4 linked regions of the Stegostoma tigrinum genome follow. Each later gene encodes a partner of the first gene's protein in a complex. Links are inferred from orthologs where the notes say so. Each region holds a gene or a part of one and is shown in the gene's direction. Other genes may lie near its edges. The genes, in order: tmem67, ahi1, tmem107l and cc2d2a.

What was found.
Region 2: tmem67 (region 1) and ahi1 share a complex: the UniProt entries of both Homo sapiens proteins name them as parts of the tectonic-like complex. The link is inferred for Stegostoma tigrinum from reciprocal best matches to the Homo sapiens genes TMEM67 and AHI1.
Region 3: tmem67 (region 1) and tmem107l share a complex: the UniProt entries of both Homo sapiens proteins name them as parts of the tectonic-like complex. The link is inferred for Stegostoma tigrinum from reciprocal best matches to the Homo sapiens genes TMEM67 and TMEM107.
Region 4: tmem67 (region 1) and cc2d2a share a complex: the UniProt entries of both Homo sapiens proteins name them as parts of the tectonic-like complex. The link is inferred for Stegostoma tigrinum from reciprocal best matches to the Homo sapiens genes TMEM67 and CC2D2A.

The regions. Positions count from the first base shown.
Region 1 is NC_081358.1:90,652,747-90,660,322, forward strand, and holds the start of tmem67 (meckelin), read left to right. Parts: upstream 1-4,575; 5' UTR 4,576-4,685; intron 4,686-4,911; exon of another isoform or gene 4,912-5,137; 5' UTR 5,138-5,237; coding exon 5,238-5,421; intron 5,422-7,576. Other genes in the region: rbm12bb (RNA binding motif protein 12Bb), read right to left, coding at 1-1,741. UniProt on the Homo sapiens protein: Required for ciliary structure and function. Part of the tectonic-like complex which is required for tissue-specific ciliogenesis and may regulate ciliary membrane composition.
Region 2 is NC_081357.1:43,904,908-43,912,271, reverse strand, and holds the start of ahi1 (jouberin), read left to right. Parts: upstream 1-4,356; 5' UTR 4,357-4,459; exon of another isoform or gene 4,460-4,557; intron 4,558-7,364. UniProt on the Homo sapiens protein: Involved in vesicle trafficking and required for ciliogenesis, formation of primary non-motile cilium, and recruitment of RAB8A to the basal body of primary cilium.
Region 3 is NC_081385.1:39,295,280-39,302,189, forward strand, and holds the start of tmem107l (transmembrane protein 107 like), read left to right. Parts: upstream 1-3,889; 5' UTR 3,890-4,489; intron 4,490-5,113; exon of another isoform or gene 5,114-5,208; intron 5,209-6,910. UniProt on the Homo sapiens protein: Plays a role in cilia formation and embryonic patterning. Requires for normal Sonic hedgehog (Shh) signaling in the neural tube and acts in combination with GLI2 and GLI3 to pattern ventral and intermediate neuronal cell types.
Region 4 is NC_081354.1:82,080,154-82,087,731, forward strand, and holds the start of cc2d2a (coiled-coil and C2 domain-containing protein 2A), read left to right. Parts: upstream 1-4,569; 5' UTR 4,570-4,719; intron 4,720-6,613; 5' UTR 6,614-6,764; coding exon 6,765-6,778; intron 6,779-7,578. UniProt on the Homo sapiens protein: Component of the tectonic-like complex, a complex localized at the transition zone of primary cilia and acting as a barrier that prevents diffusion of transmembrane proteins between the cilia and plasma membranes.

The DNA.
Region 1 (7,576 bases):
ATGAACCAAAGTAGTCACTTTCCTTTTGACCTTTGGCTCTCTCATGCATAGAAGCGATACCAAGTTCAAACACCTCTTCTGAAGTAACCACCTTTAGCACAACTTCTCTTCCTCCAAGCTTTTTACCATATAATCGCTCAGCACTTAGTACTTCATCTTCAGACTTGAACTTGACCAGAGCCTCCCCTAGTCCAATGCCATTACTATCAACAAGTATTCGGATCCCATGTTCAGCAACACCAAATCCCTCAAAGAATTTATGGATCTCAGCTTTGGAGATATCAAATGGAAGATTACGAGCATAAATATACAATCTTGGGGAATGCGCTCCTTCTCTAGACGGGTACATTTTTTCTTCAATTCTATAGGCAGATTTTTCTCTTGATCTTTGCTTCTTAATAGTGTCCATCAACTCTATCATAGCTTTTTTAGTGAGCGGATATAGATAAACTGCACGGTTTGCAATGTATGTCTTATGGTATCTTAAAGCTTTACGCATCTCAGCATCATTTCTAAACTTGACAAAGCATTCCTTAGTATTTTTACCATGAGGATCTTCTACAAGGTAAATCTGGTCATCTGTTATGTTTAGTTCATTAAAGAAATTTCGTACATCTTTTTTTGAAATACTATATGGTGTATTTTTTAACTGCATCCAATAGTCTTGATCTTGAGGGGAATAAGATCGAGACCTGTGCCTTCGAGGTGACCTTGATCGAGTTTGAGAATGGAAATGTTTATTTTCACGATGAGGGGAACGACCTCGATTGTGTCGGTTTAGATCCAAATGTCTATCATCTACAAACAAATCAGATCCCCCAGAAATCCAGTCTAGTTCTGTAGCTCGATACACCTCGACAAACCTTTGCCCCATGTATTTTTTGTGACGCTTTAGTCCCTCAGCTGCATCCCAAGAACTGGCAAACCGTACAAAACACTCTCCATTATTCAGACCTCGGTAATCCTTTTGTAGACGAACTGCTTCCACTTGTAAACCATGGAAGAATTCTCTCACTTGCAGCTCTCCTGCAGAATATGGCATGCCTTGCAGATGCAAATAAACATCATCAGTATGAAAAGCTCCTTGCTCTCTCCTTTGATTATAAGCTGAATCAGCAAAACGATCCATTGACCCAGAGCCATTAAATTTATCCAAACTATCACTCATTGCTCCAGAGGTCATTCCAAATAATGCAGACATTGAGGAACTAGGAGCAACTGCAATGTTCTGTGGAGAAGATAAGGCCATTGTCGACATATTGCCACTCATCATTGGATCCATACGAGTACCATAGCTGTTCATGTCAGAACTTCCAATTTCACCAGGATGAAAGGCATCCCTATTAATTTCATGTTGCATTGCTGCAACTAAGTTTTCAGCTAGTGTAGAAGACATACTACCTAAGCCACCTGTGCCAGAATTGCTGAATCCCGACCTTCCGTAACTGGATGTTTCTCCACTGGGACGTGCATATCTCTTACGACTCATCTCAATAGTACTCTGCATTTCGTTTCTGCTACTTAATGTTAGCTTTGTTCTACTCCCTTTAAGAAATTCACCCGATCTCATCAAAGCAAGCCGTGCATCTTCATCTGTAGCAAATACAATGAATGCCTCTCCCAGTTCACCACCAATTATATGCACCCCTCCATCAGGAATGGTTAATCTAGAGAAGAAGTGACGAATATCCAAGGTTCCTGCAGAAACTGGGAGCCCCTGCAAGCGGATGACCACAGCCATGCTGAACTCTATCAATAGAAAATGTTACCTGCAGGCAAGAAAGGCACACAGGATGACGTCAAATTATGTCAAAAAAGGTTCTGGATACTGCATTAACTTCCAAATATAATATTAATAAAAGTCAGAAATGTTAATTTTAAGAATAAAACAGATTCTTCTTACTCTGCACAAATTTGTTTAAACGTTGACCTTCAATTCAAAAAGTATAACCAAATCTCAAAAGCTCCCAACTCTCAAACCACCAAAAACACTAAAGTTGTCTGTGAAAATTCTGAAGATATCTTCCAAGCCACAACAGTTCTCCACAAGATCTGATGATGACTGAAATTGTCTTTAATATGAAAAATGCCTCAATTTTAAATCAGCCACAGCACCTCAGTGGAATTCATCTCGAAATTACATGATAGATCTAAGTTCTAGTAATACTTCAAAACTGCTGTCCAAGTAAGTGCTGCTAATTAGTACTGTATCATTCCTTCTCCAAACAAGGAATGTAAAAAAGGACCTAGGGTTAAAGTTCAACTGAAGTTAGCTAAAAACAAAATACAGTCTATTTTGCAAACTGCAACCATGGCTCTTTATATAAAGAGTCCATCACATCTTTTCTCCCACATGGTAATCCACCCGTCAAATAACTTCACTCCAGGCTTGGACAATTCCTATTTATTGTATTCTCAAAAAAAATACAAACAAACCACCTCAAACTAGTAACTCAAATTTTCTTTTCCCTTCACGTATTGCTCTGAACTCTGCAAACGACTCCAGATATAAAGCAAATGCAAAATCCTAAAATCCACATTGGGGCATTTTCAAAATGTTGTAAATGACTCCAGGCAAACTGAAAAATCCACTACTGCACATAATTCAGCAGTCCACTTGAGAAAGAAGTTACTTGATCTAAAAATATGTTTCTTTCAGGTATATCACAACATTAATGTTTTCGCGAAGATCTCGGGTGCTGTAGACTTGATTCTGTAGCAACTCAAAGGCAGGTTCAGCTAACAATATAGCGTATGCATTTAATACAACTAGAATTCTTCTTTTTTTTCAAATCTTGATTCTTTTGAAGTGATAGTCCTTACGTTTATGTTTTTGTTCCATAAAGGAGATTGAAAGTGATTGTTCTGGAGTTGCACTTTGTATACACAGACTCTCACCATCTGTTCAGAACACAGATTCCTGGTCTAAATACTAGTTAAAACTATGGGCAATAGGAATAATGCACATAATTCGGTAATAAAGCAAAATTAAAGCAACAGTCGCAAAAAACCGAATATGCACTTTGAGAAGTTTAGATTACTCCAATGCGTTGGGCTAAACAGCAGTGAACAAATATAGCAACTCAACTATTGTAAAAATAGAAAGATCAGATTCAAAATTTTGTTGCCAACTGTCGTAATTCATTTACAAGCAGAAAAAAAATCTAATATGCTACACAGGACAAAGTTAAATACTAACTGTGCATTATAAAATATATCTATTAGTTCAATAAACACAGTTTTTTCTTAACTGCTGCTTCACAATGAGATGTAAACCTACACTAAAACACAGAAATTGTGATGCACAGGAAATGCAAGTGCTCTGCAGCTTGGTGTGCACATTAACAAATTTTAACCCATGCATGGCTACTTCAGAAATGATACATTTATTACAAGTTTATTTTCACTTTCCCTTTGGTTTGAAAGTCACTATTCGTTACTGAATCGTGACATTTGCAATAAAGAAACTCAAAAGTGTCAAATGGTTATGCGACAATAATAAAGGTTTATAGTTTATCCCAGTTAGACAATTTTCAGTCACCTACCATTTGTATGACACTAACCTGTAAAAAGGTTTCTTTTAAGCAGATGCTTGAACAGATTCGTTAAAATCAACTCTACAGACTGCAAAACAAAAGAACAAGATTAAACCTGTAATAAATCCATTTCAAATCAAAATAATGGTGGGTTTATCGAGTTATAAATTTCAAGCACCTGCCATTGAACAAACTTTATCTAATTAAAAACATTTCAATAAAGTTATTCCACACCGAAAATTCATTTCATTGACTTGTGAAAATTTTGCTATAACAAAAAAATCCATTTACAGCAGGCCACGACCTTGATTAGAGAGCATTACTTTCCCACTATAACAGAAATAGCAAGTGCTGAAAATTGATAAACGGCTTCAAGAATTAAATTCTTCTTTCCTAGAAACGATGATAAATCTAAAAATAATTCAATAATTCTGAGAAACCGGCCAGTGTTATCAAACAATGGTTAATGCCAAACAACTCAAGGCAAATGATCAAATGTCTGATGAATGATTAAGTCAAAGATTCAAGTTTTGATTAGCATTTTGAACAGCATGAAATGGTTGAGAGGCTCAGCAGGGAATTCAACAGCTTAGTGCCTGCAAATCAGTGGATTCAAATCAAGGAAGTGTATCAAAAACGCTTCAATGCTTTTCCAGATCAAAATGACGGGCTATATCCATGTCGATCATTAGTGATTAAGACAATTAAGACCGATATATAATACAGCCTTTTCCTTTGAAAAGCCGTTTCTGATTCAGAAATGCTTATTTGCCTCAGAAAACTACATTCAAAAATCACTATAGCGGGTTTGGTAATAGAGCCAAATAGACAAGCAGGGTGCTTGACAACGTTATCGGGAACTGTTCAAACTCATACCATACTGAATGAAATAAATCCGTTTCCCAAGCAGAATCGTTTAAAGTGTTTTGTTTCCCAACCCCACCCCCCAGTATTTTTAAGTCTTCGTTTGTTTAAATCGCAGGTCGTCGAGATAAAACGGTCAGACAATTCAGGTCAAAGGTGGAACAGGCGTAGGTAACCTCTGCAAGGATTCAATTTATTTAGTACGCAGCCCACTCCACGTGAACAAAAATGTTCGTGCGGGCGGGAGCTGCAAGCCAAAGGGAAAAAAACCGAAGCGGCAATAAGGTAAGTGGCTGGGCCTGCACTTTTACTACATCCACTCTCCAAACTCCCCCGCCCCAGTTCGGACTCGCTCCTCTCCAGCAAAGGCCCGGTTTTTCCACCCGACCCGGAGAAGGGAAAGACGCCCGCCGCCTCAGCATACGAACTGCTGCTTCCCAACACCCACCCCTTTGGAAAGACAGAAAAAGCCAGGTTAAAGGGAGGCAGTAGCCCGTCTACACCAACTAACCCGCCGCCGCCGTCGTCGCCTGGTCTCTTAGCCACCGACACGATGGCGCTTCCGCCGCCTCCGGAGAGAGAAGTCCTGACAGTTCTGTATCCAAATATAATAAATCAAAGCCCCATTGCTTGGGCAAACTCAAAGTCGATTGAGGTTCAGAACTCTACAGTATGGTTTGCCGATTTAAGTCTTGTTTTTATCTAGACCAGTGATCAAACGTTGTCTTTTTTTCCAGTGGAGTTATTTTGAAGCGGGGAGCTGTCAGGACCTGCTGCCTGCCCCGGTGTATTTTGGGAGAGCCGGAGGGCGGGCAGAAGAGACGGTTGGCTGTGGCAATGGGAATCGGGGAGGCGTTCCAGTGCTGGCTACTGCTGTTTCTCTTACAGCTACCGTTTACCCAGACCGTTATCCTTTCCATGCCTTTCCAAACCGCGAAACAATGCACCAAGCGAGAGTATTTTGACATTTCTCGTATGGTGTGCAGGCCGTGTGGCGCCGACCAGCAGTCAAGTAGCGATGGTGGGTAAAACTTGTCAGATGGTTTTTGAGGGCAGGGGTTGGTTGGTGTTTAGCGACAAGAAATAACTCCGCATGAAAAACGTTTGCTACGTAGCAGCAAGTAGGCTAGGCGGAGAACGATCGGTTTTTACTGGTTGAGGAGCCTACCCGACGACACAAAAAAATGACCGAAGGGAAAGGCCGTTCAGCCCGTCATGGGCATACTATCTCATTAATTAAGCACCATTATTTGACTCCAGTTGCCTACTTTTTCTCACCTGGATGTTTTGGAGATTAAATTAGGACACTAGCAAAAGATGGTACTCTTCCAAAAAAAAACGACAGTTGATCATTTTTAAATTTTGAGTTTGATGGTGTTAGATATCAGGTTGACAGCCGAGCACTCCGTCACGTATTTAACAAAGGTTTAGTAGTTAACTGCTCTTGTTGCTGCAATCTGACCTTGCATCCTCAGATCAGGTGGCCCAATATACACAGTGATCTTTTCCATTTTGGATGCAACTGCCAAATAGTAGGGCCTCCCAATGTTCCGGGGAGGGAGTGTGGGTTGGGCAGTGGTGTTAGCTGACATTTTCAGGTAGCCAGTTGTGGCAGCAATGATCAAATGTCCTTTCCCCGTCACGATTCCCTTTCCCCTCATATTACCCCACATGCCATTGATTTGTGACAATTTTCTATCCTTGCCTGGTTAGGGTCAAGTGGGAAAATGTTTGAGAAGCACTATCATCTCTAATGCTTAAACACTTCCCTCATATGTGTATTTAATTCGTTTAGCAATGTCACAATGAAGGTGTGCATATGAATGAATGCTTCTTTAGCCTCAAAAGGCAAAATGGCTGGTGTCTTCATTTGATTTTTCATAACTGTCTTGAGGTGCCCATTTATTTTTCTTCTGCACTGGAGTCATGCACTGAGACCATGAGATGTAGGAGCAGAATCACAGACTTGTTATAGTACAGAAGGAGGCCATTTAGCTCATCATGCATACACTGTTTCTATTACCTGTTGCCAATCCCTGCTTTATTCCCACATCCCTGTATACCATTTTTATGCAAGTAATCATACAATATCGTCTTAAACACCTCAATTGAACCTGCCTACAATGCATTTCCAGGTAGTTCATTCCATATGTAAACTATCTGATAAAATTTTCTCATGATCATTGCCTAGTTTGTGTATCACTTTAAATCTATGCCTTCTCATTCCTTTTTCTTTTACAAGTGGGAACAGCAACTCCCGACTTGCTCTATGCAGCCTACTCATGATTTTGAAAACCTCTAGCAATTTCCTCCAGCCACCTTCTCTCGAAGGAGAACACTTCAACTTCTTGAAATATGCCCTCGTCACTGAAGTCTCTCATTCCTGGAACCTTGTTTGTAAATCAGTTCTCAACTCTGCTTTCTCTGTGTGCCATAACTGTTCAGCTATGGTTGAACAAATGTTGTACAAGTTCAACATCACCTCCGTACATCTTGTATTCTGTGCCCCTGTTAATGAAGCCAAGAGGGCTGTATGTTTTATTAACTGCTCTCTTCACTTGTTCTGCCACCTTCAATGATCTGTGCACATAAACACTCAGGTCTTTCTGCTGCTATCTCTTTTAGAATTGTAAGCCCTCTTTCATGTTGTTGTTGTTGTTCAATGTTCTTCTGACCAAAGTGCATCACCTCAAACTTCTCTGTATTGAACATTGTTTGCCACGTATCTGACACTCTACAAATGTGTCATAGAAACATAGTAGATATAAGCAGGAGGAGGCCATTCAGCTCTTGAGCCTGCTGTGCCATTCTTCACAATCGTGGCTGATCATCCAACACAATAGTCTAATCCTGCTTTCTGCCTTTGATATCATTTGTTCCAAGTGCTATGTCTAGTCGCCTCTTGAATGCATTCAGTGTCTTGGCTCCAACTACTAGAATTTCCCTGGCTCACCATTCTTTGGGTGAAGAAATTTCTCCTCTTCTCTGCCCTAAATAGTTTTCCCTGAACCTTTATCCTGCAACCCTGGTTCTGGACACACCCACCATCGGGAACATCCTACATGCATCTAGCCTGCCCACTCCAGTTAGAATTTTATAAGTCTCTGAGATCACCACCCCCCCCCCCCCCCCCCCCCACCCCGCATTCATCTGAACTCTAGCAGAAACAATTCCAA
Region 2 (7,364 bases), on another chromosome or scaffold:
GAAGTTAAGTATAGTTAAAGAGACTTGACGGGTTCAGATGCATTGATTTTTATAATGTCACAAACTGGTGCAAAAATTAATCAAGAAAGCTAAAGGAATGCTGGCCTTTATTGTCTTGAGGGGTACAGTAGAAGGATGTAGAAGTTATGTTGCAGTTATACAAACTCTGCTTAGGCCTCAGTTGGAGAGGTGTGAGTGGACCTGGGCATTACACTTTATGAAGGATATGTTGGCCTTGGAGGTAGTACAATGTAGGTTTACAAGAATGATACCTGGACGTCAGGAGTTTATTTACCAGGAATGATTATACAATTTATACCTGTCTTCTCCAGAATTTAGATGGTTAAGGGTTGATCTGATTGAAGTTTTCAAGCTATTAAACAGGAAAATACAGAGTAGATGTGCTGGATCGCGGCATGTGCCTAAGTGATTCTTTCAGATTCAGGTTAAGAGAAGGCTCAACAACAGCAATTTGCTTAAATACAAATGTTTATTAAATAATAAATTATTATAATAGTAGTAGTAAATGATTATAGCAGTGATAATAAATGGAAGCGAAGAAAAAAAGCAAAAAGTCTCAAGTTCCTCTGCCCTCTGGAGACCCCTCGATCAATGTCTGGTCTACAGGCTTAGGTTCATTCCTGGCACCATTTACGAAGCCGGTCTTATGTTAAGTCCATCAGCCATGGAACAAAACTTTCACACTCTCATACAGTATTACAAAACAATCAGGACAGAAAACAACAGATACAACAGACAAAACAGCTGGCTCATTCAGAAAACAAGTTTTTTTTAATTGTGCTGTCTGTGGCACTCATCCAAGGTCATGCAGCTTGTTGAATATCATCAACAATTTTAGTCTTTCAGCATATCCTATATAATCCACCCCAATGATATATGACAGCATATGTTAGAATTACAGATGCAGACACACATCAGCGACAGCCACACAAGAATGTACAATAAACACCTACACTAGAAGATTAAAGCTACAATGAAAATAACTAGCATCGATACAAAGAATAGAACGATGGGGTGTATCGTCAAATTGATCGCAGTTCCCTTTGGGGACCTACCTTAAAATATATACATGTAGAAACAATACACCAAGGGTTGTGTGCACGCGTACACGCGTACACACACACACACGATGTGCTGTCCAGTGGAAACAAGGGTTATGGGGATAAGGATACTGATTGTGGATGATCAGCCATGATCATAATGAATGGTGGTGCTGGCTCGAAGGGCCGAATGGCTACTCCAGCACCTATTGTCTATTGTCTAAAAGAACAACCAAGTGGTGCCACCTGGTTGAGGTGACCAGAATATCCTCTACATTCTTAGTTAGTTATTCTATTTACATAATTTGCTCTACAGTTCAGTATATTCCAGATTCAGGTTCTTCATTTGTGTTTTTTTTTCAATTTTCTATCCACAGACTCCTGCTTAACGTGTGTCTTCGCTTGTTGTTTTTTCCACATACACTAATTGCCCTAACATATTTCAATTTCCCCTACTGGTTTAGTCACAAGAACATCCCAACCAGACTCATCCACCTACCATTTCCCGGTGACTCTACATTTCCCCATGTCTAATCCACCTAATTTACACACCCCTGAACACTACAGGCAATTTAGCATGGCCAATCCACCTGACCTGCACGTCTTTGGACTGTGGGAGGAAACCCACACAGCTACAGGGAGAATGTCTGTGTGGAGTTGGCACAGTCACCTGAAGGTTGAGTCGAAAGTTAAAAGTTAAAAAGTTAAATTTTTACCAAACTTTACGAATCAAAATTTTGACTCAACATTGTGCAAATTTTGGCTTTACACAACCACTAATGGTTTCTTAAAAGGTCATTACATTAACCGTATATGCTCCACACAAATAAAGGCACCCAATGCACTTTCAAATCACCAGAGACTCCCAAAATGCTGACTCAACGTCAAATTATCTCCGGCTGTAAAGCTCCAGGAATCAAAAAGACACAAATTATGTGAGGCGACATTCAGCAACCAACGAAGGTGCATTCAAACTAGACCACGAAGAGTTAACACTTCTACAATGTTCAGTGCACAGTGCCCCAGTTATAACTGTCTCCCACACATTTGGGGGCCCTAAAAGGGAGCTGCACCGGTGCCAGACTGAATTGCTTCTAATAATGCAGTTCATGCCTCTTCTATATTCATAGTTTAGTTTTTATGGAAAATCTGGAAAAGGAGGAGCACAAGTGTTTGGTACGTAGAAATGGTAGGCAGGTTTGAAGCACATAAATTATGTGAGATGCAATCACCTTATTTCATAGCAGTAACATCAATTTGAAAAGAATCTGAAAGTTGAACTTGGACTGATTGCAAAGGACACAGATGTGTTACTTGACTGATCACATGAAGCAGCCAATCCAGATTGGAGGATTTGGGCTAATAAATATGTTAAGAGAATGGATATTTCTAAGCACATTTTGAACTGTTTCAGAATGGTATTAATGAGGTATGAGACTACTTTCCTTACTCTGTTTTTTTTTAGCACAGATATTTTGGGGGTGAAATGCTCTTCCACAGTAGCATTTAGCAATATTCATCCAGACTATGAGTTTTGCCAGATTTCACATGAGAATTGCTTGGCTTCCCCTAAGGAGAAACTGACAAACTTCACGGAAACCCAGGTTCAACAGACTAATCAGTGGCTGTTAAATAGATGCTGAAACCTTCAAAATGTATTCATCTATGTTGTACGGTCTTAAATCCATCACCTGGTTAACTGCGAAAGTTCCTGAAGAATAAGTAGCAAAGTGACCACTGCATTATTGCGATAGCAAGCATAAGCTGGCTTCTTGGTGTACAGCAGTGATTCCTCTAGGGAGGAGATGTAGACAGTCAATGCATATGATTTTTCAAATGTAAGATTTGTCAAAGCCATCATACCTGTTGGTGTCTGGTTTGAATGAGGAACTCACAGGTTCCTTCATACTTCTTTCCTTTTACCCTTACATCTGATGCAAGAGCTTCATTCTGCTGACCTGCCTGCTCTGTTCCTTCCGTTTTGTCAACTGCAGAGTGTGATTCCACCAGGACAGCAATCGGTAGGGAACCCCCTGGTTTTGCAACAAATGACAACACCTTCTGGTTTCCGATAACAAGGTGTAGAGCTGGATGAACACAGCAGGCCAAGCAGCATCAGAGGAGCAGGAAAACTGACATTTCAGGTCTACATCCTTCAGTCTCCAACCATTTTAACTCCCACTGCCAGGGTGACATGTCCATCCTGGGCCTCCTCCAGTGTCGCAATGACACCACCTGCAAACTGGAGGAGCAGTACCTCGTATTCTGCCTCGAGAGCCTACAGCCCATGGCCTAAATGTGGACTTAATCAATTTTAAAATCTCCCCAGACCTGCCTCATCCCATGACCAATGTTCCCACTCATCCCAGCCTCCATGACTTGACACAACCAGTCCATCTTCTCTCCCACATATCCATTCCTCCCACCTCACTGACCAATCCCTGCCACTGCCTGCTTACACTTACCTGTCACCATCCCCAACGCTCCTCTATTTATTTCTGAGCTCCTTTCACCCTCCCCCATTTCTGAAGAAGGGTCCTGACCCAAAAAGTTAGCTTTCCTGCTCCTCTAATGCTGCCTGGCCTGCTGTGTTCATCCAGCTCCACACTGTTGTCTCTGACTACAGCACGTGCAGTTCTTGCAGTCCTCTCAAAGGAGTCGCAGTGTAATCTATTTGGTGACAAAAGCAAAATAGAACAAGTGCTAGAAATCAGAAATTAAAGCAGAAACTTCTTAAAATACTCTAGTTCTGTGCAGCAAAAACATTCAATGGTTCCAGTGAATGTTTTATTATGAACATGCAATAAAACTTTTATTTACAAATACCATGCAGTTAAATCTACAGTCAGCAACCAACAATAAAACGATTAAAAAGCCAAATGTGGTAAACATTCATCATTCCTTACAACATCTGAAAAACTCATGCAACAAGAAACGGTGATGGAAAATAGAACAGTTCACAAACTGAAAGACACAACTAGAAAGGTTTGTTCCCATCCTCTATTGAAAGCAACATTTCCGGGTAGCAGTAAGACCAGTGAACTATTCAAGGAAAAAGTGCAGGATTTTAAAACTGTCATCAAAGACGCTTTAACAAGAATGTGGCCGCAAACTGAGACCTCCCCGAACTGGGGGGCTTTCCCAAATGAACTGACCCCTCGCTAACTCGGGCTTTACCCTAACCTGAGGTTTATTTCCCAGTTGGTTGAATGTGATTGCCTTTGGCGGCCGGTCCGGGCGCAACTTGAGCACGTGATTAGAGGAGGTGAGGCGAGATGATTGTGACGGAGCTGGTGCCGCGCCCCCTGGCAACAGTGGGAGGAGGAGTAGTGACGCTGGGAACGGACACCGCGGGCCGCTGATGCCGAACCGGTTGTAGCGTCACTTCCTACAGTCAGGTCAGTAACCGGCGATAACCCGCGTCTCCCCCATTGGTGCTTTCCGTCTCGGTGTAAGGCCGTCCTGCCGTTGCTAGGCCACGTCTCAAACAGTGGGGGTGAGTTTAATTTGGGGCCATTACGCCTCGCCTCTACCACCCCACTTCTCCGACCACTCCCGCACCATTTCACCCTCTAACCCCCATCTGCCCCCCTCTCTCCCTCCTATCTATCCCCCTTCCTCTGACACACTTGTTCTCCCTTGGATCACTGTCTGTGATCGTGTTCCCTCCCGGATCACTGCCTGGGATCTTGTTCTCCCTGGGATCATTCTCTGGCACCATGTTCTCTCCAGGATCACCGTTTGAGATTGTGTTCTCCTTGGGGTCACTCTCTAGTATCGTGTTTTCCCTGAGATTGCTATCTGGGATTGTGTTCTATCTGGGATCACTGAATTGTCCTGTTCTCCTTGAGATTGCTGTTTGCAGTCTTGTTCTGTCAGGGAACACTGGCAGGGATTGTGTTCACTCTGAGATTGTGTTCTCCCCAGGATCAATCTTTGGGATTGCGTTGTCCTTGGGATTTGTCTCTGGAATCTGTTTCTGGAATCATGTTCTCTCTGAGATTGTGTTCTTCACTGGGATCCTGTTCTCCCTGGGACCTGTTTCTGGAACGGTGCTCTCCGAGGGATCATTCTCTGAGATCTTGTTTTCCCTGAGACCACACTGTAGGATCTTGTTCTCTATGGGATCATGTTCTCTCCAGAATCGTCTGTCTGGGATCTTGTTCTCCCTGGATCACCTGTTGGATTTGTGTTCTGTCAGTGATTACTGTCTGGGATCATGGTCTTTCCAGGATCACTGTCTTCAGTCTTATTCCTAGACGTAATTCAGAAATTATTGTCTTCTGGAATTTTAAAGCAGTGGTAAAGAGATCTGTCAAAAATTAAGGAAGAACATAACTGGAGATGAACGAGACAAAGTCGACAATAAAAACTGGAACCTTCCCCAAACACCAATCAAGTAAGGGCTTCAGCGGACACATGTATAGTAACACCCAATCTTCAATCATACAAGTAGACCGAATTTGAAATCTATTTGTATGTATATTTCTCATTGTTTACGGGCACCATAGAGGGAATAAGTTCATGCTAATTTTTTTTAAAATTAGATTCCCTACGGTGTGGAAACAGGCCCTTTGGTCCAACAAGTCCACACCGCCCCTTGATATATCCCACCCAGACCCATCCCCCTATAACCCACACGCCCCTGAACACCATCGGCAATTTAGCATGGCCAATCCACCTGGCCTGCACATCTTTGGACTGTGGGAGGAAACCGGAGCACCTGGAGGAAACCCATGCAAACATAGGGAGAGCGTGCAAACTCCACACAGGCAGTTACCCGAGGTTGGAATCGAACTTGGGTCCCCTGGCACTGTGAGGCTGCAGTACTAAGCACTGAGCCACCAAGTCGAATTAGGAAAATCAGAATGGCTATTTTTATGGGATTAACTGAGAAATACCAGGGATATGTGAAAGGCAGGGCCAATACAACAAAGTAGTACAAGTATATAAAAATAGGATAAGGGCAGGAAAATAAATTAAACATCAGGGGAGTAACTTTGAGATGAAATAATTAATTTAGCAAGTAAATCAAAGTAAGTGTGTTTAAGCCATGGCTGCTTCGTTCAGTGAAGTGAAATGTGTCACCTTGGAAGTCCTGAACCCTACTACTGCCTTAGATGACCACGTGTGCAGCAAGTCTCCCAGCTGCAGAAACTCAAACTTAAGATTCAGAGCTTGAGTAATGGCTAGACATTGGTATGTTCTCAAGTGTGAGGGCTACATGGCTCACACATTTAGAGAGGTTGGCAAACTGCAGTTTACATGAATAACAGGAATGGACAACCACCAGACCGTCCAAGAGGAGAAGGCAGACAATCTCCTGGGGTACTGCCCACAAATCGGTTTTCTGTTTTGGAAACTGATGGGTGCTGGTCCTCAAGGAGATGTAGTCAGAGCCAAGCTTCTAGCACTGTATGTGGCTCAACTGTACATGAGTGGAGGAAGAAAACAGGAGTGATAATGAGAGACAATTTGTTATGTGTGGTAATAGATGGGCATTTCTATTGCTGTCAACGTGACTACAGGATGGTAAATTACCTCCTGATGCCAGGGTCAAAGATGTCACACAGCAGCTTCAGGGTATTATTCTGAGGGAGGGCGAACACCCGGAAGTTGTGGTCTGTGGTGCCAGTAACTTGGATAGGAAGGAGGATTGGCCCTTCAAACAAAATTTATGGAGCTGGGTCCTCAACTGCAGTTTTTTCTGGATTACTTTGATTACCCATATACGAGTGAATACAGAAAAAGGAGGATAATGCGTATGTGTAATTAGATAAATGGTGCAGGAAAGATGGCTTTAGATTCCCGGGACACAGGGACTTGCTGTGGAGGACATAGCAACTGTACAAGCTGGACTGATTGCAGCTGAGCAGATCTAGGACTGACTTCCTTGGGGGTGTTTTTCTGGTGCTTTTGGGAGAGCCTTAAACTAACTTGGCAGGGCTGTGAGTACCAAGGGAGCATAGTAGAAGAGAATACCAGGATTCATAGGGTACTAGTAGCACTAATACAGTGCATGCCAAATTAATCATGAATTTGGAATAAGGAAAAATGAAATGAAGTCCTAAACACGGTTAACATGAATATATCCAAGTACACAGGATAGAATACACGTGGTTTGGGTGGAAATATAATGAGGTGATAACTGAGACCTGGCTCAAGGAAGGGTAAGATAGAAAAAGAAAGAAAGGAGGGTAGAAGTATTTGTTAAGCAGGACATTGCAGTGATGGAAAAAGAGGATTTCTGAAAGGTTCAAGGACCCAGTCAATTTGGCTAGAGCTAAGGAGCTCAAGGTGTAC
Region 3 (6,910 bases), on another chromosome or scaffold:
TAAACTGTGGGGAGGATAATGAATAGGCTTGTTCAACAGCAGATGTATGGACAACAATACAGTCTGCCCAAACGGTCTTAATCAACCAACCATTGGTGTTCTATATGCAGGAAGTACAGGCAGAGGAACCTGAAAGCAGATGCTTGTTCAATCAGAGGCTGCTTCTTTTCCCCCATTTGATGCTGATGGGTTTGGCATTGAGCCTACCAGCCGTGCATTTGGGAGAGAAAATGACCTCTAATTGGGAAAACAGTGAGCTAGGCAAACATTAGTAGCTTAATCTAGCCTGATGACTGCAAACTGGGAGCAGTGACAATTCAACTTCTGTTTGAGGGGGAGGAGAGGGGATATTAGCCTAAATTGTGGTTGTGAGGGAAAAATATTCTGGGTTATGGAGCAAATCAGGAGGAAGATAAGGTTCTCTTCTTCCTATGCAGATGCCAGTCCCTTAATGGAGGTAGTCAAAAGGTGGTAAGCTGGGTGAAAGTGAGGTTTGCAGCAGGAAAGAAAGCATGAGTGTTTGAAAGATAGCATGTTGTTGTGTGTAAGTAAAATAGAGATATTGCATGAGTGAGAGAGTGTGAAAATAAAGGAGACTGTGTGTGAGTTGGTGAGGGGTGTTGAAGAAAGAGGCTGTGTGATTGTGACTATGTGCTATAAGAGAGAGAGAATCAGTGAAAATGTGTGTGTGACAGAGGTGGAGTGTGTGAGAGACACTCTGATTGGGGGATCGAGAGAGTGTGTGAGTGAGAAAGAAAGACATCTTGTTGAGGTTGTTGCAGAGCAAGCTCTTCCTCAAAATATACCAGCGCAAAAGGTACTAAGGCTAGATTGTTGAAGATTCTTTCTCAAAACATGTCTTTAGTCCTAATAGTTCACAGATTCCTACTTCAGTGCAAAATGCTTCGTTAACTATACCCAGCAACTTTGCTGCAATGACCTCTTACTCGTTTTCAGAACCAGAACATCTAATTTAATTTATCCTGGAGTACTTGAGGGCTGCAGCACCAACCATCAGTATGCAAGGAGCAATCATCTATGCAGTGATACAGAGGGCCAATAGAATGAGTGACACTCCAAAACTACACATGTTGCTCTCATAAAGCAATGGAGATTAGCACTTCAGTGCTCTAGTTGTAACTCCATGTGATTGTATGTAAGTCTCCTCAAGCTTGGCTATCAGCAACACAGAGGATTTTACAGAAGAAAGAGATCACATTAAAATAGTAGAACATGCTTTCCTGCTCCTCTGATGCTGCTTGACCTGCTGTGTTCATCCAGCTCTACAATTTGTTACCTCAGATTCTCCAGCGTCGGCAGTTCCTACTATCTCTGAAACCATATTTGCGAAGTGTTATTTTTACTGCAATAATATTGACACCCAACCACCCAAAGTGATTTTGTGCTTCTTTATTCTTTCTTCTCCTATTGCCTTGTATTTAAATCAAGTAAGTCTAAACTTACTCTCTTCTGAACTCCATCGGATAGAAGAATCAACTGCCCTCTTTTCCTTGTGAGACAACTCACTCAATCCACCTATCAATCTGATAAGCAATCTCTGAACCTCTTTGAACACACTTATATCCTTCCTCAAATGGGGAGATTAATAATGTAAACAGAACTCCAGATGTCACCAATGTCTTGTATAACTGAAGAATAACCTCTTTACTTTTGTACTCAATTTTCCTTGGAATAAATAATAACATTCTATGAGTGTTCCTAATTATTTGCTGTAGTTGTGTGCTAACCTTTTGCTAATCATGATAATCAGTTGCCTAGGGTGACTGTCTATTTGAGTTTGCACATTTTCCCCATGTCTACATGAGCTTCCTCCAGGTACTTCAGTTTCCTCCTGAAGTCCAAAGTTGTGTAGTTTAGGTGGATTGGCATGCTAAATTGCCCATAGCGTCCAGGGATGTGCAAGCTAAGTGAACTAGCCTTGGGAAAAGCAGGGTTGCCAGGATGAGGTGGGGGAGTGTGGGTCTGGGTGGGATTCTCTTCAAAGGGTCCCTGTGAACTTGATGGCCTGCCTCTGCACTGTAGGGATTATACGATCCTATGTATTGGAGCACTCATATCCCTTTGTTGCTCAGGACTCTGTGATCTCTCACAATTTAGTTAATATACTTTTTTTTATTCTTCCTGCTGAAATTAATCATTTCCCACATTATCTGCCACTTACCAGACATTTTCCCACTCACTTAACCTATCTATATTCCTTCATAGCTTTCTTACTTCCTATACCCGACTTACTTACTTTCCTGTATACCTTTGTGCCATCAGTAAATTTAGAAACCATGACTTTGTCCCTTTTATCTAAGTCAGTTATGGGAGTCATACATTAGGCTGTAAAGGCATTTGAGGAAGTGCACAAAAGTTTCACATGAATCATTTAAAGGGTTCTTCTTCAATTATAGAGAGAGATTGGAGATGTCTGGACTTTTCTTTCTTGGAGAGGTTTAAGCGAAGATTTGGTAGAGGCATTCAAATTCCTGGGGGAATCTAGACAAAGTAGACAGGGAGAAGATTATCCTATTGATGGAAAGATATAGAACTTGAGGGCAACGTTTAAAGGCAATTTTGGCAAATGAGGTTTTGCATTCAGGAGGAGACACTGTTACATGCAATGAGTGACTGGGATCTGGAATGAGCTGCCTGAGAATGTGGCTGCAAGTTTAATCAATGTTTTTAAGGATTTGGAATAGTAATTGAAAAGGAAGAATGTCTTTGCCTACACATAATGTGCATAGTAATGGAAATAAGTGAAATGCTTTGAGAGGCCATTGGTTTATTTTATGCTGGAATAATAAAGTGGATCTGTGACAAAAACAGAATTTTCTGGAGAAACTCAACAGGTCTGGCATCATCTGTGGAAAGAAAACAGAGTCAATGTTTCGAGTCTGCTGACCCTTCTTCAGAACTGTTGAATCAATGACTGCAAACAAAAAAAAATGCTGGACTCACAATGTGTTGCGCAACATCCATGGAGAGAGCAAGGCTATTTTTTGAGTCTAGATGACTCTTCAAGGCTATGATGAAAACTCACCTAGACTCTAAACATGAGCTTGCTCAGTTCTGAGGAAGGGTCACCAGACCTGAAACGTTAACTCTGATGTTTCCTTCACAATGCTGCCAGGCTTGCTGAGCTTTTCCAGCAACTTCTGTTTTGTTCCACTGTGATTTTTCGCATTTTTTTGTTTTCAGTACAGTTGCCATCATCTGCAGTAATTTGTTCCAAAATTGTGGTGAATCTATGACTCTGTTATGCGCTGTGCGAGTTCCGATCCTAAATTTTGTTAACTTCCACAACAGCAAATGGAATTAAGGGGTTTATCTTAACTTTTCGGTATAGTTCCAGTCATTCCACAGCTCAAGAAGTATTGGCCAATTCCGCCTCAATTATTGAAGTAGTCAATGTCGTGGGTATCTTCCCAGAATGCAAAGCGAAGCAGACAACTTAGTCACGTGAGATAATAAAATGTGAGGCTGGATGAACACAGCAGGCCAAGCAGCATCTCAGGAGCACAAAAGCTGACGTTTCGGGCCTAGACCCTTCGTCAGAGAGGGGGATGGGGAGAGGGAACCACCTCCTTGACCTGTCTGTCTTCCCTGGATCTGCCTCCCTAACCGGTTCTTCCTCTCACCCATCCCTTCCTCCAGCCCCAAGCCGCACCCCCAGCTACCTACTAACCTCATCCCACCTCCTTGACCTGTCCGTCTTCCCTGGACTGACCTATCCCCTCCCTACCTCCCCACCTATACTCTCTCCACCTATCTTCTTTACTCTCCATCTTCGGTCCGCCTCCCCCTCTCTCCCTATTTATTCCAGTTCCCTCTCCCCATCCCCCTCTCTGATGAAGGGTCTAGGCCCGAAACGTCAGCTTTTGTGCTCCTGAGATGCTGCTTGGCCTGCTGTGTTCATCCAGCCTCACATTTTATTATCTTGGAATTCTCCAGCATCTGCAGTTCCCATTATCTCTAACATAGTCACGCGGACTAGAAAGCGGGAGAAACCCCAGTGCGCAAGCGCGTAGAGTTAAGTCGCTGGCCGTCGTTTCTGAAGCGGAGGCGGAGAGAGACTTGGCAGAGGATTAGGAGAATTGGGAATCTGGGCGGTGAGATGGGGTGTTGGGGATCTGCCCAGCGGGATAGGGAGATTCGGAAATGAGGATGATGTCGTTATTTATGCTCCTGTTTTGGCTTTGCGGTGTGAAGAGCCGCGGTTACCTTGGCAACCTGCCGCCATTTTGTTTAAGGCACCAGCGGCGATAGGCTCGGCTCTTCCGAGAACAGCAGCAGCATTGAGTGTTTCCTCTGCCAATGACTATCCTGTCCAGCGTCCGCGGCCCGTATTACTGTTTCTGACTTCCCATGCCCAACGCTTCCGCAATGCGTAGTAGAACTTCGATCCAGGTGAACCCTCCGCCTCTCGGATCATCGGTAGAAGCTAGACCTGCCTCCTATTTGTGGCAGTAACTATCGTATCTTAGTAAGTTAGTTTGTTTACATATCTGAAAGCTGCATTGAAAAATCGCGGAGAAAAGGTAGATAAGATAAATGGATGGGTGTAGGCGGCCGTAGTAAGGTTAGCGGGAGACAAGGTAGATTCACAGGTGATGAGTGTGTTCAAGAATGAGTGAAGAAGAGATGGGGCCAGGTTGGTGAGGGAATAGGATGTCAGATAGAGGAGGGGTAGGGTGTCAAATGAGTAAGGTAGGATACTGTATGAGTTGGAACGAGTGGGGTGGCAGATAGGTGAAGCAGGCCGGATATTAATGGGACACGGGCTAGAGTGTCAGGTGGTTGAAGGTGTACCATGAATCTCAGGGCTGGTTAGGAATGTGTTAAGTCAGGAGTAGTTCATGTTAGTTAGGAGTTTGGTTTTGGAGGATTTTGGGCAGTGGAGGCAGTAAGGTTGTTGCAATACTGTTAGCTGTGAATAGAGTGGTCGATGTTATCAGAGATAATGGGAACTGCAGATGCTGGAGAATCCAAGATAATAAAGCAGGCCAAGCAGCATCTCAGGAGCACAAAAGCTGACATTTCGGGCCTAGACCCTTCATCAGAGATATGGTTGCTGAAGGATTACTGCAAGTGTTAATTGTTTTATATCCCCTGAGTGACTTCAGATAATTTACAACCCTCCATATGTCAGATCTTTAAAATTACACCCCTTTATGGGGTCACTTTTTTAAAATATGAATGTTTGTAAGTTGGATGTTCATAAATTAGGGATCCCTCTAATTGTGGGTAAATTAATCTTCTTCTGGTTTGTGAAAATCAAATTAGCAGAGGGTGACAATGAGGAAAAATTCATACGGTGTATCCTAGAATAAAATGTTGTGAATCTAACCAGGTATTAGGCTGTTTTAAGTCTGGTAATGTGTATAATGAATGATTTGGGTAAAACTTCCCAAGGAAACAGTGATCGCCCTGATAATATGGCAGAATTTAGCGTTCAGTTTAAGTGGTAGAAACTTGGATCAAAAACAACCAAACTTATCTCCACTTATCTGGATTCCATTTTCTCCCCCTTGGTCCAGGAACTCCCTCCTATGTCTGTGACACCAGCCATGCTCTTCACCTCCTCCTGAACTTCCAATTCCCTGGTCCCCAATACCTCATTTTTACTCTGGACATCCAGTCCCTACACACCTGCATTCCCCATGCTGATGGCCTAAAAGCCCTCCACTTCTTCCTGTTCTGCACACCTGATCAGTGCCCCTCCGCTGACGCCCTCAACCGCTTATCCGAACTCGTCTTCACCCTCGACAGCTTCTTCTTTAATTCCTCCCACTTCCTTCAGACAAAGGGGGTGGCCATGGGTACCCGCATGGGCCCAAGCTATGCCTGCCTCTTTGCAGGGTACGTGGAACAATCCCTCTTCCAAAGCTACGCTGGCCCTATCCCCCATGTCTTCCTCCGTTACATTGACTTTCAGTGCCACCTCGTGTTCCCACAAGGAGCTTGAATAGCTCATCTGCTTCACTAACACCTTCCATCCCAACCTTAAGTTTACCTGGACAATCTCTGACACGTCTCGCTCCATCCTGGACCTCTATCTCCATCTCTGGCATCCACCTGGAAATCGATATCCATTTTAAGCCTACCGACTCCCACAACTACCTAGAATATTCCTCCTCTCATCCACCTTCCTGTAAAAAGGCCATCCCCTATTCCCAATTCGTTCACCTCTGCCACATCTGCACCTGAGATGAGACATTTCAGTCCTGAACATTCCAGATGTCCTCTTTTTTTCAAAAACCGCAACTTCCCCTCCACAGTGATTGAAAATGCTCTTGACCGTGTCTCCCGCATTTCCTGCAACTCATCTCTCATACCCGCATCGCAATAATAGCCAAAACATAATCCCCCTCGTCGTCACGTCCCACCCCAACAACCTCCAAATCCAACGCATCATCCTCCGACATCTTCACCATTTGCAATCTAACTCTACGACCAAAGGTATTTTTCCCTCCACACCAGGATGTGCTTTCCGGAGGGACCACTCTCTCAGTGATTCCCTTGTCTGCTCCACACTCCCCTCCATCCCCACCGCCCCCGGCACTTTTCCCTGCAACCAAAGCAAGTGCTGCACCTGCTGCTATACCTCCCCCTCTTCGCCCATCCTAGGCCCTAAGAAGACTTTACACATTAACAGAAACAGGTGAACATCTGTTTAATGTGATATACTGTATCTGCTGTTCCCGTATTGGCTGCCTCTACATCGGGGAAACCAAATGGAGGCTTGGGGACTGCTTTGTGGAACACTTATGCTCAGCTCACAACAAATAACTACACCTCCCAGTCGTGAACCATTTCACCAACCCCCCCCCCCCCCCCCCCCCCCCCCCCCACACCTCCCCCAACTCCTTAGACGACATGTCCATCCTGGGCCTCCTCCAGTGCC
Region 4 (7,578 bases), on another chromosome or scaffold:
GTCTGTACTGCTTGCAAAACAAAGCTTTTCACTTCACGTAGGGACACGTCACTACAATAAATCAAATTAAATCAGTGAACGTATCTTTGTGCTTTATCCCATAGCCTCCAAGATAAGACTGAAAGATTTGCACACTCACTGTCTGTTCCATTTGTTCCTCTTCCCCCTTTATCAACAAAATAAAAAAAAACATAATTTTCCAGGCCCCTTCAGTTGGAGTTTTGGTTGGTCCACTAAGCTGACTTGTTTCCATGCAAATGTTTCGTTCGCCTTCTGGGTGACACTGTCAGTGCTGTTTAGTCTCTGTTGAAGCGTTGTTGTTCTGTCCTGCTCTGAATTTATACGGTCTGTTATGGTAGGAGTTCTGTTTCCAGTTTTACTCCATACTATGTAAATAGAGTCTATTGCAACATGGTTGTTTATTGTACCAGGGGTTGAAAACCAGACTCCCAGGAATTCTTGTGCTTGTCCTTGTTTCGCTTGTCCTAGTACTGTTACTTTGTCCCATTTAAACTAATGTCCATCTTTGCCAGAATGAATAGAAATCACCAGGGCACACAAACACCAAATGGCAGCAAAATGGCATGAACATTTCCCCCTCGTTTCCATTCACTCATTCAAAGAAGGACATCAATTTAACTGGGACAACGTAATAGTACCAGAACAAGAGAAACAAAGACAAGCACGAGAATTCCTGGAAGGCTGGTTTTCAACTACTGCTACCATCATCTACATACCACTATGGAGCAAAACCAGAAACAGAACTACTCATCATAACAGACCAGGCTATATAAATTCAGAATGGAACAGAACAACAGCGCTTCACTGAAGACCGGACAACACTGATGATGTCACCTAGAAGAGAGGCAAAACTGTTGCATGGAAATCTGTCATGTGGGTGAACCAACCAACAAACCCAGCCACCACCCGAGTTACAGATCCGACTGAAAATTTAAACCCCTTCACTTCTGCTGTTGTCATTTTGAACTTCAAATGCTCACTTTGTTTTTCTCCACAGAAACATCTGGACCTGCTGAGTTTCTCCAGAGTTTTTGATTTTATTTCACAGTTCCGGAATTCGGTAGTACTTTGCTTTTACTGGTACAGCGGGATTTTATTTTGAAGCCAAGATCATGCTGTGAAACATAACCTAGCTCCAGGGATGTGAACCTTTGTCATTGGGGTAAATTGAAGAAGTTGTGACTGTTCTCCTTAGAGAGAGGTCTGGGAGGAAATTTGATGTAATTTTTCAAAATTATGAGTTGGCTGGTTAGAATGGACAGGTAGAAGCTGTCCCACTTGAAAAGTGAAAGAGCTTGCTGTCATAGATTTAAAATGATACACAAAAGAGGCTATAGTGATGTGAGAAAAAGAAACATTTTCTAACAACAATTAGTTAGGGTATGGAATGCACGTGATGGAGGCAGGTTCAATTGATATCGTCAAGAGGACATTAAATAGTTGTGTTGATAGAAATGGTATGCAGGAATATGAGGAAAAAGCGGGGACAAAGGATATGGGATAAAGGAGATTGACACAAGGTAAGAGAATCAGTGCAGGCATGAACAGCCTCATTCTATGCTGTAATAATTGTGGGTTTCTGTGACTCATCCAGGAACGTGCACTACCAGAGTTAGAAAGCCTAATTTATATCACATGTAGATGTCAGAATTATACCGGAAAATGGCATGCTTAACATAAAACTTTATAGTGTCCTTAATGATAGCCAGAGACGGGTTATTGTTGCAAAATTCTGACACATTGAAACAGTTTAAAAAAAAAACTTTGTGATGTTTTTTGAGAATTACCCAAAAGAGTAAATGATGCAAACTGGTCAAACAAATTATTTATATAGGGCCTAACCCCAGGATTTGGTAAGGAGTCAGGACTGGGACATTTTCGTGGGCAGAAGTCTTGTTGTGTCATATTTGTGGGAATGTAGTGATACAGCAGGAATTTTGGTCCAATTTTGCACTTGTGGTTTCTAATACTTGAGTCAAAATGTGTGTGCACAGTCCTACTTGGCTTTAAACACTTTTCAAACTTGGCAGTGTCGTCAAAAACAAAGGAATTATGAGGATTATCATAATCTAACATGTTGATGATGAAACATACCAAAGTATTTTGGAAATGAGGTGTTAGAGACATAAGCATCCCGGAAAGAGGAACCTTTCCTGTTTTGAGATACTCAATAACCATAAGGAAAGGTTACTTCTGTTTTGTCTGAAGCAGGGCACAACCAAAAAATTTAAATACTTAACATTAACTGAGTAATTGAGCACACATGACTGTATGTGGATTGCTTTGACTCATACCATAGCCTATGAGAAACAATATTTTTAAGTCATAAGGAGAATCATGTACTTGGTACATGTCAATGTAAAAATGGAAACAAATTTGTTCTCTTGTGTCAACATTCAAATACTTAACAGTCAATTCTATTCTGAATGCAAACTGATTTTGCAGTTTATGATATGAAAAGGTAGCACGCAAGTAATGGTTACATTTGAAATGTATGAATGAGCTAAAGAGTGGAATGAAATTTAATACAGGCTGGATTGAAATATTGGATAGAAATTGAAAATGTTGGTGGAAACTCAGCAGCTGTGGGGAGAGAAACAGAGTGCATCCCATGGCTTCTTCAGCATCTTTATTTGGAAAGCATGTCATGGGACGTGAAAGGTTATCTATTTTTCTCTCCAGGAATCCTGTCAGGCCTGTAGAGTTTCTCCAGTCCTTCAGAAATTTCTGAAGAAGGGTCCAGACCTGAAACGTCATCTTTCCTGCTTGTCTAATGCTGCTGTGTTCAACCAGTTCTACACCTTGTTATCTCAGATTCTCCAGCACCAGCAGTTCCTACTATCCCAGAGAGGGAGGGTCGTGTTGTTTCCTCCAGAAAATCATGTCTGTTTGGTAGATGTCTGATATCATAGCTGGCCAAAAATGCACAATACAAAATGCGGGAACCACCAAAGCCAGCCAATATGTGAGCAAAAATGAGTCTCATCTTATTACTGATGTAGATACACTCAGCTACCATACAGTAAATGTGAGGAATTATGTCAAAGGCATTTAATGATGTGTCAATTGACCTAAGTTTTCAGGTGTCTTCCATTGCATCTTTTCATGACTAGAACAAAGAACTGTGGATGCTGGTAATCTGAAACAGAAACAGAAGTTGCTGAAGGAACTCTGCCGGTTTGACAGCATCTGTGGAGAGAAAGCAGAGTTAACATTTTGGGTCCAGTGACTCTTCAGAATTAACTGATGCTGGTAAACCTGCAAATTTTTGGCTTCAGATTTCCAATATCTGCAATTCTTTGCTTTATTATATCATTCCATTTTGCATGCTGTTGGTTCAACAGTGATTCCAGAGTTTACATTTGCAATAAACTGCTTGAAAGTCCATTCTAAGTATTAACTATGCTGCCTGAAGAAGGATTCCGTGTGTGGATCCTAAAGTTTTTTTTTGCTAATTTGAAATTGTATCCATTGTTTCCCAACTGTTTATTTTAAACAATTTTACTTTTAAAAGCTCTAAATTATTTTATGACATTTTAAAAATTATCTTTCAGAAACCCCTTTCTATGCTTAACATTAACATTTGTTGCTTAGCAATGAAAACTCACAGCAGATCAGACTTATGTACATTACAGTTTCCTTTGGCATATGTTCAACCATTTATGCTGTGCTGTTCAACATCCTAAGCATTTCAAAAATGACCTTTGATTTTTGCTCAGGATGGACATGTTGAGCGTAAATTGGCTAAAATTCTGGGGCCTCTTTCAGCTTCAGGCACAACTTTTGCAGCATAATGCAAAAAGTGTGCATTGGCTATTTCTCCTTGCCACACCCGATACAAAAGCAAAATATTGTGGATGCTGGAGACCCAAAATAAAATCAGAAAGGACTGGAGAAACTCTGCAGGTCTGACAGGATTCCTGTAGAGGAAAATAGATAACCTTTCAAGTCCCAATGACATGCTTTCCAAATAAAGATGCTGAAGAAGCAAAGGGTTGCAAAACGGTAACTCTGTTTCTCTCTCCACAGCTGCTGAGTTTCCACCAACACGTTCAATTTCTATCCAATATTTCAATCTAGCCTGTACTAAATTTCATTCCACTCTTTAGCTCATTCATTCTTTTCAAATGTAACCATTACTTTCATAATAATTTTTCATATCATAAACTGCAAAATTAGTTTGTTGCCGACTTATATGACCGTATAATTCTTTCAAAATGTACGTACAACTGGTAGAGTGAACTGGTGTGTGAAACAAGCAACCGGAAACGAAGTTGAGATTTTCCTTTTCCCCAACCAGGCCACCGTAGCCGAAAATTAATCTAACATTGCTGCATGATTGACAGGGAACCACTCCAGCAAATTCGCGTTCTCCAAGTCCCAGCTCCGCTGTGGGGCTTTTAGGTTCCAGCTCCGCAGTGGAGATATCGGGCCCCCTTCTTGAGCACAACCCGGAGACGTCAGCTCCGCGCTGGGGCTCCCGGCTCCGTGTTTCTGCCCGCCCCTTGAGACGTCAGCTCCGCGCTGGGGCTCCGGCACCGTGTTTCTGCCCGCCCCGAGGAGCCAGCTCCGCGCTGGGGCTCTCGAATCCGGTTAATAAGTGGTTACTAAGCGAGTGGTTTCCTGGACGCCAGCGGCGTCATTACAGATCCAGGGTCTCATTGTTGGAGGAGAATGTAAATCAGAAATACGTACAATGTAAGTGCATTCATTGAATTGCGATCTATCCTGATTCACCATGGCTTCTTTTTAGAGCTTTCCCTCCATAAATCCAGATTTTTAAAAATTGTGTCAATTGTTGCAGCACCTTTGTTTTATGGGAAGCTGTTCCTATTTTGACTGTGATAAAAAGTGTAGAGCTACCGATTTTGACTGTTTCATGTTTGCGTGCATATGTCTTCTTTCGAATCTTCAACTTTGATGGTTAATTCTGTCCTTATTTCTGTACCCATTGTCCATATTACATCCTGCATTTGCTTTCAGGCTGCGTGTGCCGATATCTTCCTTGAAATACCTCATGCTCGTGCACAGCACCTTGGATTATTTTATTAAACTAAATGCACGTTGTTATTTTGTAGTTCTGTGTCAAGCCTTAGTTTTATTTTCTTCAAGTTTGTTAACACGTATAAGTGTTCCTTCCTAATTCAACATTCGCCAACTTTAGGTACATTTAAGTCGTCATTGGATAAGCATATAGACGTACATGGAATAGTGCCGGTTAGATGGGTTTGAGATCGGTATGACAGGTCGGCACAACATCGAGGGCCGAAGGGCCTGTACTGTGCTGTAATGTTCTGTGTTCTATAACATTCTCATCCTGATCATTTTAAACTTTAATGTGCACCAGATTTAAAAGCAATACTTCTAGATTGTCAAGTACCCTGCATCATCTGGTTAAGCTTCCTTGCGAGTTTAATTTTTAACCAGTAATATACTAACTTATTGAACTTCTGAAATCTTTTGTATATTTGCAATATTTTTCATCTACTTATATAAAAACACACTTACCCCAAAATAAGTGACTCATACTTTCCCAGAGTGAGCTTGTTTGTAATACCTATTCTGTTGATCTGGCTGTCATCGTTCGGTAGTTGGTAACTTGAGTACTGATGAATAAAAAGACATGCTGTTGAAACTTTTAATTTTGCACTCATCAGGACAGTACGCAAGAACATCAAATTTCAAAGAAAACAATAGTTTTTACTGCGTAGGAAACAGGGTGCCAGTTGGCTGGCAAGTGAACTCGGATTAGTTCAGATTTTGACCATGAGAATATACCAGGGAAGTAGTTACCCTAAAGCTTTCATATAAATTCAGAAAAAACAAAATTATTTTTGGCTGTTATGCATCATCAGGAATGCAATAAGGAATAGTGAAACCCAAAGTTTTGTTTCATGGAAAAGGTTCAAAGTCTTGACAAATTCCTTCTGCCTATAGGGAGCATGCCCCTATGTAAGAAAATACCTGTCCACTAACCAGCCTGTAAGCACCGTGTTTCTCTTGCAGTGTAAATTAGCGTTCCATTTGAAGTTTGTTTTATTTTTGGTAGTCTTGAAGAGCACATTTCAAAAAGCTTTGACAAAATTTCTCCTTTCTTTCAGCAAACTTGGCTATTTCTACTCTGGTATTCTGCTTTGATTCCGTGTGATTTATAGAATTTGCTGATAGAAATCATTTCTTAAGATTACAAGTTTGAATGGTATTGCAGTAAACTTTGAAAAATTTAGATTGATCCTATAATACTTGTATGGTAATAATTCAATTTTCAACCTCTGATAGTCTTATTCCTCAATTGGCTGAATATTGAACATAGATTACTATTAATCTAGTAATTCTGTTATTGTTTTGATATTGAGAATGCTATGTTTGGAATGGCAAAATATTGATCATTAAAGCAGTTTCACAACTTCAAGAACAGAGTACAGCATAATAAATGCAAAATTCTAGCAGAAAGTAATTTTTTGCAATATTACTGTGCTTGATGAATATGTATTTTTGTTTATATTCAATGATAGGTTGTCCACTGTAAGATATTTATTTGATTATATTAATACAGTATGTGTGACTTAATTTACATCATCTTTTATAACAGGCACTAGAAGCTACATAATGGAATCCATTACCTTCACTGCAGGATGCATGTAAAATACTATCAGTGGATTTCGGCTTTACCCAGTTTTTGTGCAGTAAACGAAGACTGTATGAAAATCAAAGGCATTTCGTAACTGAATTAATTAAAGAAAATGGCTTCTGCAGAGTGAGTGAAATAGTTTTACTTTAAATTTTCTCTGTCATTTTCTCAATGGGGATTAATTGTAGTAGAGTGCAAGGGTTTCAAATATTCCATCTGACAGTACTTATAATGGTGTTACCTAGGTGGATTGGACTTCTATTCATTTAGATGATGTGATAGGCCAGAAATATCACTCATCTCTTGAAAAGGTTGCAGTAAATTGCCTTCTTGAGCCACTGTAGCTTATGTAGTACTCATGGTGTAATTGTTAGGATGTTCGCTCAGCATGGATATACATATTGTAGGTTCTCATTTATCTGCTGTATTCCTGTTGCTGCAGCTTCTGTAACACAGTGAGCCATGTAAAAGGAAAACAGACATAACATTCTCCTCATTCAAAACTAGACAAGACAAATGGTATTAGCATGGTTCAAAGAAGACAAATTAATCACTTTTGCTTCTGATCACATTGCCTTAGGCTGGGGACCATATGATATAAAATGTTACATTGATAGAAATAGTAAGTTCAAACATTGGTACTGAATGGATCAGCTATAAATTCAATTAATGTACAGAAATATAGCTAACAAGGGTAAGATTTATTTTTCGCTTTTTAAAGCCAAAAAATAATATAAAAATGAATGCTTTATGATGGACGGGGATGCAGAGGAACTGAACTGGGTTAAGTCAATAAAGAAGTACACCTGAAATGAAATATCAATTTTGAAAGGAAGAAAGGCAAGAGCATTTTGTGACAAAATATTTGCTGTTTGGATCTCGATTATTCCAGAAAGTGGATCAGGCTGTAGCTTATGCTGTTTGTT